3 linked regions of the Rattus norvegicus genome follow. The protein of the gene in region 1 interacts with the protein of each later gene in a pairwise test. Links are inferred from orthologs where the notes say so. Each region holds a gene or a part of one and is shown on either strand. Other genes may lie near its edges.

Region 1 (3,755 bases):
CAATGTTGTTGTACCTTAAGGCCTTTACTCTGATATCTTGTATGGACAAGGCAATAGTCACAGAACTAAGTAAGGACATGTAGTTTGTTCCTTTGGAAATGGCTAATCATAGATGTTAGAAGCTAACATCTATTCTAAGTATTTTGGATGTAATTAAAGTGACTAATGTGCATACTCAGTGCCATTGACAAAGGAATGACAAATTTCTGGGGGGGTTGTGGGGTTTTTTTTTTTTTGTTTGTTTGTTTTGTTTTTGCTTGATCATTGTTCTGGTTTTTATTTTTAAATTATTTTTCTTGGATATTTTATGTATTTACATTTCTTTTTTTATTGGATTTTTTAATTTACATTTCAAATGTTATTCCCTTTCCTGGTTTCTCAGACATAAGTCCCCTCTTCCCATCTCCCTCCCCTTCTATAAGGATGTTCCTCTCCCCATCCACCCCCTCCCGGCACCCCCACCCAACATTCTCTTACATTGGGGGTCCAACCTTGGCAGGACCAAGGGCTTCTCAACAAATCTCTAATAAAGACAAATGAAGTTTTAGCCAACCTGGCGCGGTAGACATTTTATTTGATATCATACACAGAAGGATAACTTTTTTTTAAAAAAAAGAACATTTATATAATAAAATTACTGCTTTATGACTTAATCATACATTGTAAAATATTCCTAAACTTTGTTAGAATTATCATATACATTTTTTGGCGATTATTCTTTGTTTTAGAGTCTTTGTATGTCTTTATAACCCTAAGTCACAGCACCTGGTTTAATATCGTCTATATAATTCATATGCAGAAAGTTTCCAGGAATGAATTAGCTGGTTCTTTGGCACTGGTCATGATCAATATCTTGTCGGTAGCCCACCAGGCCTTCAGTTGTCACACACCACAGCCATTATTAAGTGACTGGAGGGATTGATGACGGGTTGAGAAGCTATATGCAGTGCAGTCGTAGTCATATGTGACTATGACAGGCGGGTAAGCCTGTATCCTGTCTTCCTTTCTCTGAGAAGGCCCTGTCAGTTCTGCCTCTGCTTAAGAAGGTAAGAGGCTGGGACACCACTTATTTCAAGTTAAACGTATTGTTGCATTGTGTGCACATGAAGAAATAGAAAGATTAGAAAGATAAAATGGAGTGTCATTTTTCATTCCCAGGGAGCTGGGACTCAGACATAAACTTCAATAAAAGCCTGTGTGTCTGGTCCATCACTTAGATACCATTACCCAGGGCAGGTTTTCGCCTAATACAGGCCTGGTTTTGAAAGCCTGTTGACATTCTCTTTCTTTATCACATTGATTTAGAGTGTCACTCTCTGCATTCCAGTACTTACACACTGCAAAATTAAATAAGTTGTTCTTGAGCATTACAAAATACCATGCTTGTCACTGTATTATTATAATACTCTACATGGCTGCTGCGTTGAGCCATTGGAAAACAGAATGGAATCACCTTTCTCCTTCTTAGAGTAGTGGGGAAGATCAGATCAATGGTCTGCATTTTAAGTCAGTGAAATCATCCGAATTCAACAAGTGTTCCCTCCCCTTGCAAACAGAAATGGCCTTGTCGTATTTCCTGTAACGATTTTGAGGCAGACTCAGTCACTGTAAGGCATCTGTTCATGCCGATTTCCCATATTCATACACTTCCCTGTGATCAGAAACAGATCACAACATGCTAGTCCTCGAACTTACTATGATGTCCTAACATACCTTCATTGTCAAGCAGATGCCTAGGTTGACAGCGTAGAGAAGTAACTGGCTTTTCCCTGCTCCCCAGCGAACTGATCCAGTTTATCACAAGTGGGCCTGTTATTGCCATGGAGATCTTGAGAGATGATGCCATATGTGAGTGGAAAAGGTTGCTTGGACCCGCAAACTCTGGGATAGCGCGTTCAGAAGCCCCCGGAAGCGTCCGAGCCCTCTTTGGGACAGATGGCATAAGAAATGCGGCTCACGGCTCTGATACTTTTGAGTCCGCTGCCAGAGTAAGTTGTTTTGAGAAATATTTTCCTTCTGCTTTGTTTGGGAAATTGTCTTGTGTCAAAGTAAAACATTTCTCCTGCAGAGGACTTTGGGAGGTTTGGAACAGCTAATGATGTAGCCTGGAAAACCTGGTGAAGTTTTCCTAGGCTCAGGTACCGTTTCCAAGCCACACCCCCTTTTAAAACGGTTGGTCACAGTTGTCCAGTGCAGTTTTCTCAAAGTCTGACATTTGCTACCACCCATCTTTCTGGAAAAGATTAATTTGCCGAGGCTCGTGTTTGTGACTTAATTAAATTAAGAGTACTAGTTTATGGATCTATAGTAGATACTCCAAACGAAGGTTTCATTTGAGTAGTCTGTAATTCAGATGAGGCAGTGGTGTGAACTAAGCTGGTGACTAGATCTGGAACATGCAGCTTACATGAAGAAGCTAGAACCCTAGGTCTTGTTCTCGCAAGGTAGCTCAGTGGGTAAAGGCGCTTGCGGCAAAGCCGGATGTTCTGCTGTGTTACCTGGGGCCCATGTGGTGGAAGCAGAGAAATTTATTCCCACAAGTTATTCTCTGACCTCTGCCCATGCACATACACATAGATAAACATAAAAATGTAATTAAAAATTCCAAAGCAAGAAAGGTTTCTTTAAAAAAGAAAGAAAAAAATCGAGGTTTTAACAAAAAAAAAAATAAGAATTATCCTGTGAGGAGCTTGGATGTGAGTATTGGTAACAGCTTGTTTGTGACAATCCATGTTACAATATCATAGGTGCCCAGGAGATGGCTGAATGGACAAGACACCGTGTAGCCATCTGTGGTACCTGATTTGTCAAAAAGAAAGGGAAAAGAAATTATTACAGCAAGGAAATCTCAGAATATTTTTGTTGAGTGAAAGAAACTAGAAAAAATAGCATATATTGTATAAGTCTATATAAAATTATAGAAATTAACTTACAGTGACAAAGCAGGTTAATAGTCAATAATAATAGTTAATTATTAATTTTTAAGCGTTCTGCCAACTGAATCACTCAAATATATACAGTGTTTGAGTAAATTCTCTTCCTCCCGCTTGCTTATGCTTTAAAGAATATTTACATATAAAAGTAGAAGGGAAACCATTAGAGAAGAGGATGGGATAGAGGGAAAAGGGAGAGTAACGTGGGATTGGTAAGATCACAGTGCGTGTGGACCTCTATGAAAATGTCCCCAGGAGGCCTATTTTCTATATAATTAATGTATTCTAATAAAATATAAAATGTATTAGTATAGCATATTAACATATCTGTTATTATCTTTGACTTTTTTAATTGTAAACTTGAATCACGGTCTCACTATGTAGCCATAGTTGGCCTGGGACTTGTTCTGTCGGCCAGGGGACTTACTAGCCTTTTGCCTCTGTCTCCAGAATGGCAGGTTTGATCTTTCAAGTATAAATTTAGTGAAAAGAAAATACTCAGAGTCAGGTTTTGTTCTAGGTGTTTGGAAGCCAGTAAGATCTGCAAATTGGTCCTTTTCTTCAAATGTATAATGTTACAGTAGGTGACAAGTCCTTGAATAGTCACAGCTGGGATGGATACATGGTGCTGGTGGGGGTGTCAGGGAGAGCTTTGTAGAGGTGAGCCCATTCAGAGAGTCCTTTGCTCCTGGCAGATGTTGGAGCAAGGAACAGGTTTTTATGGAGAACCTAGTGGAAAGAATAATGCTAACTGCTTAGGGCAGCATTTAAGTCATTAAAAGAACTGATTAATGTGAACATCCTCGTGGTCCATTCAGATGG
Region 2 (3,755 bases), on another chromosome or scaffold:
GGAGCCCAGGCTAGCCTCAAGCTCATGGCAATCCTGCCTTAGCCTCTCAAGTGCTGGGGCTACAGGCATGAGGCACAAACCCGGCTGTGTCTGTGATTCTATTTGTCTGTCTGAGGCAGAGTCTCTCACTATGTAACCTTAGCTGGCCAGTACTTGCTTTGTAGACCAGGCTGTCCTTGAACCCAGAGAGATACCTGCCTCTGCCTCCCGAGTGCCCGGATAAAAGGTGTGCACCACCATGCCTGGCCTGCGTGCTATCTTGATGCTGTTTTCCTAGGTATATTTTGAGTTACGAAGCTTCATTAAGCAATGCACTTTTTTTTACTTACGTCCATACGTATTTTAGTAATTACCATCCTGGGGAGGTGAGGAAATAGCTCAGTTGGTAAAGAGTTTGAAAGAAAGTATTATGATCTGACTTTGATCCTGAGAATCCATATTTAAAAATGAAGAAAAGGGTCAGGTGTGGTAATGCCTACTTGTAATCCCAGTGCTGGGAGAACAGGCAGGTGGGCTCTGGGACTCCCTGACCAGCCAGTCTAACCCCCTTGGCAAGCTTCAGGCCAGCGAAAGAGGCTGTATCCAAAAGAACAGTGAATGAATGGCTCCTGAGGAGTAATACCTGAGGTTGTCTTCTGGTCTCCACATGCACTTACAGGGACTCGCCCACACATACATTCACACATACAAACGTGTAAATACAAAAACTACTGTTCCCAAAAAGTTAAAATATCCTCATCCAGCACGGCCCTCTCCAGCTGTAGTTGATTTTCTTCATCGTATTTACTCTCTGTGGGATGTCCTGTCCCTCTATGAAGACTGGGTCACTCTGTGGCAGGTCGGGTCTCCAGCTATAGGGCTCTGGGACAAGCAGGTGGGACAGAGGTCTGTTGTGTTCTGGGCTGCGGAAATAGTACTATTTTACACACCCATTAATAGCATTCCACCTGCCCATTCCAGAATCAACAGTTCCATTTCTCCAGGAAACAGATCTGAGCAGGGGATACAGCTCAGTTGGTAAAATTGGCACTCAAGAAACCCTGGGTTCCATTCCCAACATTGTGTAAAACAGGACACAGGAGAACCGGAAGTTGAAATTCAGACTGCACCCATCACTCAGCAGTTAAGAGTGCAGAAGACCTGAGTTCTATTCCTAGCACTCACATCAGGCTGCTCACAACTGACTGCTTAGAACTCCAGCTCCAAGGGCTGCGTTATCGCTAAATGTTATCTCTAGCCTTTATTAGCACCTGCATTCATGTGCATATAATCACAGACAAGCACACAGATACACATGCCTACACATAATTAAAAATAAGAAATTGAATGTTATTCTTGCTACATAGTGAGTTTGAGGCCAGCCTGGGCTATATGAGACGCCATCTCAAAGATTTAAAAAAGGGAAGCTTAGAGTTTTATACCTCTAGTCTTTTTTTTTTTTTTTTTTTGGTTCTTTTTTTTTTTTTTCGGAGCTGGGGACCGAACCCAGGGCCTTGCGCTTCCTAGGTAAGCGCTCTACCACTGAGCTAAATCCCCAGCCCCTACCTCTAGTCTTAATATTTGGGAGGCATAAACAGGCAGATTGCTATGAGGTCAGGGCCAGCCTGGTCTACATATTGAGTAAGTTCCAAGACAACTAGCACTATATAGAGAAACCCTGACTTACAAAAAAAAAAAAAAAAAAAAGCAGAGATATGGCACTGAAAGGATGGTTTAGCAATTTAGAGCATTTCTGTTCCTACACAGGACCCAAGTTCATTTCACTGCACCCATATAGTGTCTCACAACCATTTGCAACTCATAACTTCAGTTCCAGGAGTCTGATGCCCTTTTCTGATCTCTGGGCTCCCAGCATACATGCATACAAACATACAGACAACACATTTATACACATGCTAAAAAAAAAAAGTGAAGAAGCTGGATGTGTTAGCACAAACCTTTAATCCCAGCTCTTGGGGAGGCAGAAGCAGCTTTATCTCTGGGAGTTTGAGGCCAGCCTGGTCTACACAGTGAGCTCCAAGACAGCCAGGTCTGTAGAGAGAGACTGTCTCAAACCCCACCTCCCAGGGTTCTTTTAATTGTGCGAGTGTAGGGTGTGTGCATTTAAAGTGCCGGTGCTGTTAGAGCCCAGAGGCATGGGGTCCCCTGTAGCTGGAATTACTGACAGTGGTAAGCCACCTCACATGGGTGCTGGGACTCCAGCTTGTCCTTGACTCTTGGTGGGTTTATTGTCCTTAATTCTTTGAGGCAAAAAGTAGAGCGTTGTCTGCAGACTGTTGTCTGCCTCATTCAGGTTTGCAGGCCTTCTCCTGTTAGAAACTTTCAAATTGGACTGAAGAGATGTCTCAGTGGTTAGAAGCATGTATTGCTCTTGCAGAGGATCTGAGTTCAATTCCCAGAACGCCCATTAGGCACAAGATGACATGTAACTCCAGTTCCAGGAAGATCTAACGCCCTCTTCTGGCCTCCACAGGCATTGTACTCCTGTGCACATCCTATTCCACAGAGACAGTTTCTTTGTGTAGCCCTGGCTGTCCTACAACTTGCTCTGTAGACCAGGATGATCTGGAACTCGGAGGTCTGCTTGGCTCTGCCTCCAGAATGCTGGGATTAAAAGTATGTGCCATAACCTCTTGGCATATGTCTTAGGGTTTTCATTTCTGTGAAGAGACACCATAACTAAAGCAACTCTTATAAAGGGCAGCATTTAGCTGGGGCTGGCTTACAGGTTCGTTCTGAGGTTCAGTCCATTATCATCATGGCGGGAACATGGCAGCATCCAGGCAGGCATGGTGCAGGAGGAGCTGAGAGTTCTACATCTTGTTCCAAAAGCAAACAGAAAACTTGTCTTCCAGGCAGCTAGGAGGAGGGTCTCAAAGCCCACCCCACAGTGACACACCTACTCCAACAAGGCTACTCCCTGAATTAAGCATGTTCAGACCTCCACAGCACATATCCGTAATTTAAAGGAATGCAAATAAATCTTAAGAAGCCTTTTGACTTTAATATGACATGTCTTGTGAGCTAGTTGAGTTCTTTCTTAGATCAGTAGTTCTGTGTGACTTGTAGGGATGTAGGACTGTCCCTCCTGACCCTTTGCCTTCCCTCCTCTCTCCAGGCCTTGTTGCTGCTCCATCGACGCTTGGCCATCTGTGAGGAGCAGCACTTGGTAGAACCTGCTGAGCTCCTAGTCCTCCTTAACCTTTCATTTGTGTACCTGAAGCTAGACCGCCCTGCTATGGCCCTGCGCTATGGGGAGCAGGCTCTGCTCATTGACAAAAGGAACGCCAAAGCCCTCTTCAGGTGTGGACAGGTGAGTTGAGGGTAGTGGGGAGAGGGGCTGGGACAGCAACTCAGTAAAGTACTTACCAGGCATGCAAGTCTGAGAGCCTGAGTTCATTTTCCAGGACCCGCAGTGCTAGAACCCAGCATTAGGGAGGCAGAGACAGGTAGACCCCTGGAGTTCCCTGGCCAGTCAGCCTACATGAATTGGTGAGCCCTGGATCCCGAAGGAGGACCTTATTTTGAAAACTAAGGTGGGCTGTTCCCGAGACGGAAGCCAGGTTTACCTCCGGTCTCCATTCACATGTGTGCTCCCACACAGAGCAGGAGGGCTCACGTGGGCTACTACCACAAATGCTAATCCCCTAATGTCTTGTCCTTTCTTCACAGGCTTGCCTCCTCCTGACCGAGTATGAGCAGGCTCGGGACTTTCTAGTGAGAGCTCAGAAGGAGCAGCCCTGTAACCATGACAT
Region 3 (3,259 bases), on another chromosome or scaffold:
TATGAATATTATGACTCTAGCCAGGCATAGTGTGAAACATGCCTTTAATCACAGCACTTGGGATGGGTGAAGTTTGAGGCCAGCCTGGTCTACAGAGTGAGTTCCATGACAGTCAGAGCTATGAAAAGAAACCCTGCTTTAAAAACAAAGCAAACAACAACAAAAAGAATCTACACAGGGAAGACCAAAGGGATGGGGGACGGAGGCTGACACAAGGCTCCTAACACTTAGGAGGTGGAGGTCGAGGAATGGGGGTCTGAGGCCAGTCTTGCCTACATGTTGAGTTTAAGGCCAGCCTGGGACACATGCCAGATGTGGCAGCACACATCTTCACCTGGGTGGTAGAGGCAGGTGGGTCTCTGTGGGTCCCAGGCTAGCCTGGTCTATAAATCAACTTCAAGGCCAGGCAGGGCTACTCAGAGATTCTGTCTAAAGTACAAAGAAACAAAACTGAAAAGCAGGAAAAAAAAAACCTATGTAAGGGCTGTAACTCAGTGGTAGAGCATTTGCTAGCCTGCACCAGGCCATGGGTTTGATCCCTAGCACTAAACGAAAGTCCTAGAAATTGCTTTGCTAGTAACTTTTGGCACTCAAGGGCACCTTCTACCATTCATAGCTCCTGTGGGGAAAGAAATCTCATCTTCCACAGATGAGAAGGCTGAGAGAGTTCTGTAAAAAGAGATAATCGGGGTTGGGGATTTAGCTCAGTGGTAGAGCGCTTGCCTAGGAAGCGCAAGGCCCTGGGTTCGGTCCCCAGCTCCGGGAAAAAAAAGAACCAAAAAAAAAAAAAAAAAAAAAAAAAAAAAAAAAGAGATAATCATGTCTCACACACTCAGGAGGGATGACTACTTCAGCCTGAGAGATGAGAAGGCCTCCTGGGGTCCCAACATCTTAGTCCAGTCCTAAGATGAGGAAGGTCAAAGTTTATGGAGAGGGAAAGCATTACAGGAAAGAAACCAGCAGTAAAGCCAGGTGTGGCTGGGAATGTCATCTATGAGGTGACCAGCCGCTGGTACACAGAAACAACTGTGGAGTGTGGGTACCTAAACTACAGGCTGAAGGAAAGTTGGATGGCCAGCTCAGGGCAGCTGGTGGCTCAGGGTCAGCCTCATTGTCCCCCTTCTCTCCCAACCTAGATCAGCCCGGAGGAGGAAGAGCGCCGCAGGGTGAGACGAGAGCGGAACAAGCTAGCAGCTGCTAAGTGCAGAAACCGAAGAAAGGAATTGACAGACTTCCTGCAGGCGGTGAGCATCATCTGATACAGAGGGTCCCCAGGCCCGGAACCACCGAGCCTAAGAGGGGCCTCGGCTCCCAGGAACATAAGAGACCCAATAAGTTACTCTTCCACACTCTGCCTTCCTCCCTGTCCGAGGGGAAGTCCTGGAAAAAGGATAAGGGAAAGTGGCTTAACTATTGTTTGTCTTGGGCTTCAATGCAGAGTCCTAGTTGGTAGGCAAATCTCCTAAGACGCTTGGGCCTGATGGGAGTCATGCCCATTTTCTCCCAGGGGCTCATGGGAGTTGCAGTCCAGACTTGTTGGGGATTCCAGGCACAATCCCTACTCCAGCCTGAGGCTTGGAGATCTTTAGCCTTCATTTTCCTAACTTTCTGCTAATCCTGTAAAGGAGACCGACAAGTTGGAGGATGAGAAATCGGGGCTGCAGCGTGAGATCGAAGAGCTGCAGAAGCAGAAGGAACGCCTTGAGCTGGTGCTGGAAGCCCATCGCCCCATCTGCAAAATCCCAGAAGAAGACAAGAAGGACACAGGTGGTACCAGCAGCACGAGTGGGGCGGGTAGCCCACCGGGCCCCTGCCGCCCAGTGCCTTGTATCTCCCTTTCTCCAGGACCCGTACTTGAACCGGAAGCACTGCATACCCCCACGCTCATGACCACACCCTCTCTGACTCCTTTTACTCCGAGTCTGGTTTTCACCTATCCTAGCACACCAGAGCCTTGTTCCTCAGCCCATCGAAAGAGTAGCAGCAGCAGTGGTGACCCCTCCTCCGACCCCCTAGGTTCTCCCACACTCCTGGCTTTGTGAGGCACCCAGCCACACCCCTTGCAGGTGCTACCCGTTGTCATCTCCTTTCCCTGTTCATCCAGCAGGCCTGGACCATACCCATGCCCCAAACCAGCAGGTCTTTTATCTCTTTCAAGTAGAACAAACATGTTATGCTTTGATATAGAGCCAGCTTGGGGGTCCCCAAAGCTGCTCACTGTTTCTCTAGAGCTGGCCTATCATAATTTGCATACAGAGAAAATATGTCCCCTCTGCCAGAGTAAGCCTGGCAGCTCTGACTTTGTAGATCCCCAGTGGTCCTTTGATGCCTTGCAGACCACTTTCCCACACCATGTCACTTTCTTCATGTTATCCAGCCTACTCTAAGCCTAGATAGAAGGTGCCCTTTAACTAGCCTAGAACACTAACTCACACAGCACCAACAGCCAGCAGCACCAGGACACCCTGTAGGCTCCTCCTGATCAGGAGGCACCAACAGCTTCTGTGATGAGCTGAGCTGTACTCCCTAGCTCTGAGAAGCTTTTAGCTCTGGGGTATCCAAGCCTCCACAGCAAGGGCAGCTGCTATTTATTTTCCTAAAGAGACTATTTTTATACAAACCTTCCAAAATGGAATAAAAGGCTTGAAGCTCTAGTCTGAGTTGTCATGTTGGATCCAGAGGCTAAAGGAAACCATTTGGAACAGGAGCTCCAGGTTCCAGTCTTAGCTGTGACCTTGAAGAAACTGCCATATATGTTTTTGGACTTCAATATTCTCACCTGAAGAATGGGGCTACCTCTGTTCTGCCTGTACTGAGAGATTGAGAATGCTTTGGAGTGCAAGCAAAGAAGATTATCAATTATTTTCCCCATGGGAACCCACATTACTTCTGTCTTAAGGACTGGGGGCAGGGAAGGACGGCAGTATATCCTTCCACCATCTGACCAGGCGGGCTCAGTGGGCTTTAGGCCCCCAACACCTGCTTCCTGTCCCATTGTTTTGGACAGGAAGGAGCCTGGAAGGGAGCTGGAGCCACTTCAGTGGCCGGATTTCGGCCTGTCTTGGCGCCCATCGGGGGAGTTAGTGATCTACCACAGTCTCAAATCCCACCCCAAATCCAGGTGATGGGGAGTCAGCCCTAGCTCTGCAGCACCGCCGATGGGAACTGCACCGCATCTCTGGGTTTCCGCCCTCTTCCCAACCCCGGCGAGTTCCAGACACAAGCTGGCAGGCTTCAGGCTCTGCTTCCTTCCCAGTTT

The links. The genes of interacting proteins can lie anywhere in the genome.
Region 2: the proteins of Nme7 (region 1) and Fkbp6 interact in binary tests that used the Homo sapiens proteins (3 or more experiments, as listed by UniProt). The two-hybrid records come from large-scale screens. The link is inferred for Rattus norvegicus from reciprocal best matches to the Homo sapiens genes NME7 and FKBP6.
Region 3: the proteins of Nme7 (region 1) and Fosl1 interact in binary tests that used the Homo sapiens proteins (3 or more experiments, as listed by UniProt). The two-hybrid records come from large-scale screens. The link is inferred for Rattus norvegicus from reciprocal best matches to the Homo sapiens genes NME7 and FOSL1.

Annotation. Positions count from the first base shown.
Region 1 is NC_086031.1:79,224,821-79,228,575, forward strand, and holds part of Nme7 (nucleoside diphosphate kinase 7), read left to right. Parts: intron 1-1,780; coding exon 1,781-1,988; intron 1,989-3,755. UniProt on the Homo sapiens protein: Possesses an intrinsic kinase activity. Displays 3'-5' exonuclease activity with a preference for single-stranded DNA. Does not seem to have nucleoside diphosphate kinase activity.
Region 2 is NC_086030.1:26,962,482-26,966,236, forward strand, and holds part of Fkbp6 (inactive peptidyl-prolyl cis-trans isomerase FKBP6), read left to right. Parts: intron 1-3,118; coding exon 3,119-3,313; intron 3,314-3,672; coding exon 3,673-3,755. UniProt on the Homo sapiens protein: Has an essential role in spermatogenesis. It is required to repress transposable elements and prevent their mobilization, which is essential for the germline integrity.
Region 3 is NC_086019.1:212,189,739-212,192,997, forward strand, and holds the end of Fosl1 (fos-related antigen 1), read left to right. Parts: intron 1-1,136; coding exon 1,137-1,244; intron 1,245-1,625; coding exon 1,626-2,042; 3' UTR 2,043-2,653; downstream 2,654-3,259.